Rattus norvegicus: one gene and its partner. The protein of the gene in region 2 interacts with the protein of the main gene of each other region in a pairwise test. Links are inferred from orthologs where the notes say so. Each region holds a gene or a part of one and is shown on either strand. Other genes may lie near its edges.

The links.
Region 1: the proteins of Zfp277 (region 2) and Gngt1 interact in a two-hybrid assay, tested with the Homo sapiens proteins (3 studies listed by BioGRID and IntAct). The two-hybrid records come from large-scale screens. The link is inferred for Rattus norvegicus from reciprocal best matches to the Homo sapiens genes ZNF277 and GNGT1.

The regions. Positions count from the first base shown.
Region 1 is NC_086022.1:32,959,620-32,963,747, reverse strand, and holds the start of Gngt1 (guanine nucleotide-binding protein G(T) subunit gamma-T1), read right to left. Parts: upstream 2,804-4,128; 5' UTR 2,671-2,803; intron 2,576-2,670; 5' UTR 2,569-2,575; coding exon 2,473-2,568; intron 81-2,472; coding exon 1-80. UniProt on the Homo sapiens protein: Guanine nucleotide-binding proteins (G proteins) are involved as a modulator or transducer in various transmembrane signaling systems.
Region 2 is NC_086024.1:63,237,000-63,241,007, reverse strand, and holds the start of Zfp277 (zinc finger protein 277), read left to right. Parts: upstream 1-1,201; coding exon 1,202-1,295; intron 1,296-4,008. UniProt on the Homo sapiens protein: Probable transcription factor. Involved in modulation of cellular senescence; represses transcription of the tumor suppressor gene INK4A/ARF, perhaps acting via the Polycomb group (PcG) complex PRC1.

The DNA of each region.
Region 1 (4,128 bases), on a different chromosome or scaffold from region 2:
TCTGGAATCCCCTTCACTAGAGGGTCTTCTCTAGATCTTTCTTCAATATAATCTCTTACTTCTTCACAACATTTGGAAACCTTAAAAGAAAGGAGACAGAGGTAACTCATTTGTTTTACAACAGAGGTCTGCAGATGATAGAAATGTATTTACTACAATACATTTCTAGGTTGCAACTTTTTAAAGATGATTCCCTCTGCTCCTGCCAGTGCACGTGTATTTTTCAGGGTAGGAAAAAATAATCATTCCCACACCTCCCTTCTAGATGTTTCTGGAGGAGAGAAAGCTGACCTTGAGCTAACCATTTCTAGTGGGCTCTTCCTCTGGCTTTGTCAAAGAAACACAAGTCGGGGAATTCTCCAAAGTAAGTCTCCCTTCTCTTCCTAAACATTTAGTGTAAAGATGGATGAGAGTGAAGAGTTGCTAAATTCCTGGCACATTCTCAGAGTCAGGTTCTCAGAAGTGCAAACACACAGTTTTAAATTCAACCACAGCAACTGCTCATAACTGCGTGGCACGTGATCCAAGCGGTCACTGACTTTGGCTATTTTGTTTAGTATAACGCGGGCAACAGAGCCTGTGCTCAATTGATGCTTAACGAGGGAATGTGTGCTGGAATGGGCACTCATTTGGTTTATAAAATTGCTCCTCATTCACTAATAGTTTCATAATTGTGATTTAGAAAACAGGCAGGCTTCAGTGCTGTATCTCTATAGGTAATACGCACATGTATGTATTCAAAAGAGTCCAAGTTATCCATGGCTTTTACCCTCAATTCATTTTATACTCAATCAATGCTTTTTTTATGACAGTAACATAGATCTGAATTGTTGACAGTGCAGTGACCAATTTGTAAGTCATGTAAACAGTGGCCTTTTTCAGTAAAATTGTGTACCACATACACATAAATGTTCATTTGTATACGTGCGTAAATATATGTGTGCACTCTAGATTCTATATTTGGAAATAGTCCCAGTCTAGTGACACTAGGAGATGAAGCCTTTGACAGTTGCTCGCACCCTGAGGGTCAGCTCATTATCAGCATTAGCGCCGAGGAGGAAGGGTCACCAGAGCAGCTGCTCCTCATCCCTTTTACCCTGTAGGGACACACTGAGGAGACACTACCTGGGAATGAAAGCACAGGCCCTGGACTTGGATAAGCACAGTTCCAGAACGTAGAGAATAACATCAAAATGATTCACCACTTCTGCAAAGGCATGCGGTCTGTTCTAACCTCTTATAGCAGCATGAATAGACTAGAGCAACAGATGTGTGTGAATATACAGCAAAAAAAAAATCTGTATTGGAGGTGGTGGCAGAAGAAAAGGAATAAAAAAAAAGCAGTAGTGGGAAGACAACACAGCACAGAGAAGACAGTGAGGTTTACAAACTAACATTGTTATTTAAACTTGCAAAATCGAGACTCTTCTGAATAGTTGGAGAGGTGGTGTATGTCATGTTTTCCCCCAAATAAAAACTCCAAGGTAATGAATAAACCTGAAAATATTCACATTGCTGACCAAAGGACACCCAGGAGCTCGTTGATGTGATAAGGATTTTGGCCTGTGTGTTCTATTGTGCTGATTGCCTATTTGAGTTTATCTTTATTCCAAATCTGGTTTTTGTCTCTGTGGAAGGAGTATCACGAGAGTTGGGGGAAGTTATAAAATAAAACTAAAATCTTAAATGTGTTTGCTTAGTAGTAAGGTCTGAGCAATGCATGGCAAGCAGATAGACTCTTTTCACTCTTTCCTCATAAGGATGCATAGATAGACATATTCCTAAAATGAAGAGAGAGTACCTAACACAAATCTACACTTCTTGAGATTCAGTCACTGTTGCGGGAAAGATGTCCATTCCCTTTTCCTTTCTATTCCATTTAATGCAGAGACCCCAGGTCACTATTCTCAAGAGCTAACAGATGTTTTTAGGAGAAACCAGTGAGGTTTTGGGGCTGAAATCATCTTTATTTGCACAGGAAGACTAGAATGTAATTATTTGTGACTGACCAGAGCAAGGCTGGGGAGATTGAGGCTGTACTTTTAAATACATGGACGACGTCAAATATTGTACAAAATGAAGAATAATCAACTTATGGGAACAAAACCAAAATATCTCAATGCCTTGTTTCATTTGAGTGCTTAGGTAAAACCCTATCTCTGTTTCAATTTTTCCCCTATTATCTTCTTGGTCTTTCTGTAAAGGTGTAAGACATTCCTCAGCTCAGTAGTCGTACCAAAGCAGGCCAAGAGCCACACTTGGACTGGGAAAACTAGCTTTCTAACCCTCGGGTTTAGAATCTAACTCTTGAAATAAATTTAATTATTACCTTTCTTCAGCACTGATTCTGTTTTCCACTAAGAATTTACTTTTAGATACATTGATCTGTTCCAGCATACGCTAACGGAATTGGGAGGTGTGGGTATTTGCCACGCTGTCTTTTCCGGTGAATTGGAGAGGTCACTCACTCACCATCACTCTTTCCAGGGTCACTTCCTTCTTGAGCTGGTCCACCTCCATCTTCAACTTGTCCTTTTCTGTCAGGTCCTCGATGTTGATCACCGGCATCTTTTGTCTGTGATAAAGATAGACTATAAGCATACACACATGAACTGCTGTACCAAACACACACACACACACACGAAGCCCATCCCTCTGCTCTGTACTTACCAGGGAAGCTGCTTTTGGGTTTTCTTTCAAATTGCCTGTGATAACCAACTCCTCAAGAACAAACTCTCCGAACACTGCTCATTCCACACGCCAGGCTTAGGATTTTAAAGCTTCTTCATAATCTTCCCTAATGTGATTAAACTAAGCATTTCTCTTCCCACACCTGCCAGGAGATTTGAAGGGAGAGAACCATTTAGTCAGCTTGCAATATAAAGTAGTAATGCCCCTTCCTTTCTTCTGGCCTTTTGCAGTCTGAACTTCTCGGTTTTCAACTCTCTAGTCAAAACCATCTGCCAAGGAATCAATGCCATTTAGTTCAGTCAGAGGTTATTTGGAGGACTGCCCATTAATCCTCAAATTGCTGGAGTCTTTAATCTGGTATTAAAAGAGAACTATTTATAAAGAGTACCATTATAAATACATCATAGAGAATGGACTGAAATCTGAACGGATGAAGTTGAATATAGTAAATAAACTTCAGAAATAAGCTATTATACAATTTAGAAATGTCATTCAACAAAACCTAGGATTCTTTTTGTCTTTATTAACTTGGGTATTTCTTATTTACATTTCAATTGTTATTCCCTTTCCCGGTTTCCCAGCCAACATCCCCCTAACCCCTCCCCCTCCCCTTCTCTATGGGTGTTCCCTTCCCCATCCTCCCCCCATTACCACCCTCCCTGCAACAATCACATTCACTGGGGGTTCAGTCTTAGCAGGACCCAGGGCTTCCCCTTCCACTGGTGCTCTTACTAGGATATTCAATGCTACCTATGAGGTCAGAGTCCAGGGTCAGTCCATGTATAGTCTTTAGGTAGTGGCTTAGTCCCTGGAAGCTCTGGTTGCTTGGCATTGTTGTATATATGGGGTCTCGAGCCCCTTCAAGCTCTTCCGGTTCTTTCTCTGATTCCTTCAACGGGGGTCCTATTCTCAGTTCAGTGGTTTGCTGCTGGCATTCGCCTCTGTATTTGCTGTATTCTGGCTGTGTCTCTCAGGAGCGATCTACATCTGGCTCCTGTCGGTCTGCACTTCTTTGCTTCATCCATCTTGTCTAATTGGGTGGCTGTATATGTATGGGCCACATGTGGGGCAGGCTCTGAATGGGTGTTCCTTCAGTCTCTGTTCTAAACTTTGCCTCCCTATTCCCTCCCAAGAATACTTATGATTTATAGGTAACTGCCGCGGTGCATTGAACAAGAGTGTTGAGCAGCTATGACTTGTTCAAGGGAGCATATTGATTCTGATCTGCCAATGTAACTTTTGTGAGAAGAATGGCTTCTTCTAGCAATCTTCCTCTTGTTTAGAATCATGGATAATGGAGAAGAAGGTTTGGTAGATGTTGGTATGCCTGAAATCACTTGACAGGTATATTGTCATACTCAAATGACATTGTGTCTGTCCTCTGCTTCTCTCCTTTTCTGCTCTGTATCTGTAACTTAATTTTCATATGAAAATCTT
Region 2 (4,008 bases):
TTACCACCCCCCCCTGCTCACAACACACACCCCAAACACCCGGGAGGCGAGGGAGAAAGGAGGCTGCGTCCCGACTCCCTCTGTCACAGGGGCTAGGGGTGCCACATTCTGCACTCTGGGAAAGCCGACCCCAACCGCAGGGACTTCGCGCCTCCCTACTGTTTGGGAGTATTCTAGCTGCGGGTTCCTAGTCTCCCTCATCACCCCGGGAAATCCTAGCAGCCCACTGCCAGCTCTCTGCCTCCGTGGGCCAGCAGGGGTAGAAGGGAGAGAAATCCTGTTGGCTTCCCCTTCTAACTTGACACGCAACACACCCCGCGGCCACTCCAAACTCTGCCAGCAGAGCCCGGAGTGGCTGTCCCGACGTTCCGGGATCGGGTTCGAGAAGCGCCGAGTGCGCAGTGAGGAGCGAAACCCTAGCGCGCGCCCCTCAGCCGGAGGCCGGTGTGGCCAAGCCTGGGACCCGCTGTGCAATGCCAAGACCTGGCATTTGCAGCCTGGCGCGGAGCGAGCTGCGTGGGGGCAAGGACCGGAGCGTGGTAAAAGTTCGCCCGCGAGCACTCACCCACGCCGTATTTCTCGTGCTCCGTAGGTATCCACATGGCTATAAAGGGCGCTGAGGGGCTCCGGGCTATGCAATCCCCGCGCCCCTCCAGTGGCTCACAACAATGCACGGCTCCCGAAGAGCAGCTGCGGCGCTGGAGCACAGCAGATCGCGCGGGCTGCGGCGCTGGGCAGGGGCTTCTCCCGGGGCTCCCGAGCGGACACTGACACTACACGGACGAGACGGAGCCGCCCGCTGCTCTGCCGGCCGCGGCTGCTCACAGCCCTGCGACGCGCTCTCGGGGACCCGGCGGCGCAGTCATTGTTCTGATTCACTGAACTAAGCGAACACGCCGGGGCACTCGCGGGCGCACCCCCGCCCGTCAGCGCCCATCCAGCGCTGCCTCCCCACTGCCTCGCGGCATGCCGGGAGTTGTAGTTCTTACTCTCCCGGGCCCGGAAGGGGGCGTGGCTACAGCGGTTGGGGGCGGGGCAACTAGTTAGGCTCATCACATTCGATTGGTCCAAAATGTGACGGCACAGCCCAGGCGTGTAGAAACTCTCTCAGTGGGTCGGCATGCGACCCCAGGCGCGTTTTTATTGGTTATCTCCCCGCTTCGCCCCGCCTGCGGCCCGCCCCTTTCAACTGGTTCAGGTAATGGCTGCTCCAGAGGCCCAGGGGCTTGGTGTGGACCCCCGGGAAGACCGGGTCCGCGGGGTCCGCGGCGGAATCGGGCACATCGATCATGAAGGTGAGTGCGCTGTCCCTTGGGTGCGTGTGATCTGTCTTTCTTTTTCTGTGCCCGGGGTGCAGCTGGCAGCCGCTCAGACCTTAGAAGCTGGTCAGCTAGGAGACCACCTTGGCAATGCCAGGCAAAAAGCCGCGGGCGGAACCCACAGAGATTGGGTGGGGCAGAGGGCGGTTGCCAAGCTGAAGCTGTTTTGGGTGGGACGAGAAAATGTGAAGAACTGCCTTCCCGGCCTCTGAGAAAGCTCCTTTTGCTTTGTTCCGGTTTGGAATTATGTGCTTTGCACTTGCCCACGAGTGGGTGTGGGTCAGGTCTGGGTCGCACGTGTGTGATTGTAATGCTGTGATTAGGCGCTATTTCCTGACTAGTATCCTCAGTTTGCTGAATTTGTTTTTGGGAAGGTGTTTTATGTAGTTTGGGGCGGGTTTCCAAGTTGGAGACTAGTCACGTCACTGTTCTCCAGTACTTGCGGGTTGCTCTTTGGAGTCCTCTCCAAAGGGAAAGGATGTGTGTATCTCAGGAATCATTTGACCCTGGAGCCTGGGAAATCTTACGTCCTAAGTCGTAAGAGAAAGAGGAAAAAGAGAATTAAATGCACTCCCGCCTTCACAGAATATTTAAAAGAGGGTTTTGAAACTCATCACAACTACTTTGTATCTACCTGATTTTGGTGTTTTCTTCAATTCCACTATAGAGATCAAAAATCAAACTTTCGTAGACTACCTTTCTTTTAGTCGAGCTCCACTCCCCACCCATTTTAAGTATATAATTTAGCACAGCAAGTTCTCTTATGTAAATGGATAGGATTTGGGGGTTAATTTGTGTCTCAGTCCTTGTTGATGTTTTTTCCTTTCACAGCTTTTAGTATGAAGTTTTTATCTCAGTAGCAGAGAAATGAAGTGCAATTTCTTCCCACTTCCCCTAGGTGAAATTCCTATCATCTAAGCAACCTATCAGTGGGTTTGCCATATATCCCATACTTCTATAACAGACTGTTAAGCTTTTCCAGATTACCAAAATTCCACAGAGCTACCATTTTAAGATATAAAGTTGGAAGCTTCGATAATTTTTCTCATGGGTTAATTTATTTGAGAACTTATAAATACCTCCAAAGCATAATGAATTACCTTACAATTACAATTCATTATATTTCAAGCAGTTCATTCAGAGGTATTCAGATTTAAAAAAATATTAAGTCTCTCCACTACACAGTTCCACTTATAAAGACAAAAGTGATGCAAATTTTGACATATTTCTTTATAATATACATTGTATAACTCATTTTTAAATGACGGATAATTAAAGGGATAATTTTTGTAAACTCAAAGATCTACAACTTTCTTCTCCCTCTTGTGTATCAAAGATATTTCTTTATCAACATTTTTTGTAACATTTAGTGACTACACTCAGGTTCCATAGAACAGATATTCCATACTCTAGCCAGTCCCCTCTTAATAAATGTATAAAGTCACTCTGATTTTCAATAGCATTACAGAGAGTGGATTTGTTTATATGTGTGTGTGTGTGTGTGTGTGATACATATGTATATAGATGGATAGATTGATCCAGTAAAGTATTACTTTGTCCAGTATTAAGCTTGTGTAATTTTTATGTAGATACCAGTTTTCTGTCTTAAAAGTACTCATCATGAATATTCCCCAATAATAACCAAGTATCCTTTACCCAATATTTTCAAAAAGTGTGAGGAAATTATTAATCCAGGACCAGTGTTGAAATATAGAAAGACCGAATTAGGTGACTAATGAAAACTTAATTTTAGTCTCCAAATTATCTTCAACAAAAGCATTGAGCAGCAGAGAATTTTCAATGGTTGTCACAAAAAGCATCTCTTTCCTTACTTCAGAACTGCCCAGTATTATCATTGACTTAGGACAGTGGCTGGGAGAGTGTCATGATTAGTCTTATGTCATTTTTAGTAGGTAAGTACATAAATTTATCATTTAAAATTCTCCTTTAATAATGGATCATTCTTTGACTTTATCAGAATTCTTTTCAAACCCTGCAAAATGGGACATACATTTTAGGTGGGAATAATTGCATTAGGAGTATATTTCTTCTTAGGCAGGCATTTAAGTGATCCAGAATGTCTTTCTCTATAAAATCACACACCTCTTTACTATCCGGGAAACTGCTGCTTTTCAGAGGTTTCTTTTAATTCTAATTAAAATGTCATTCTATGTGTTTAATATCCTGAGACAAAAGGGCCCGAGGAGCCATTTAATAGAAATCCTAGCAGTTCTGTAAAATCTCTGCAGGAAGGAGCATTAGATGGAGTTCGGGCACATACAGCTCCCTCTCTGAGACCACTATGCTCCCCGAGGTTTTTTTAGTCCGTTCCTCCCCATGTCCCTACCTTGGTTGGTTCACAGCAAAATTGTCTATTGAGAAAAGTCATAAAGTCTGTTTGTTGGCAATACAGATAAAGAAAGAAATGGTACCAAGTGTGCAGCTATCTTCCTTGCACACTCTCCAGTGTACAAGAACTCTTGGTGTTAGGAGAGGGGCTTAGGACTGAACTAAGGGCGATGGATGTCTGCTGAGACTCATGTGGAGAGGAGGTCAAATGACCCGGTCAGGCCAAGACTTATCCGTGTCTGCTGCTCATTTAAACAGAAATTAGTGTCCCGTATTGTTTCCTAAAATTAAAAACAAAAAATAGGGTTTGGGTAGATGGCTAAGTGAAAGCACTTGCTAT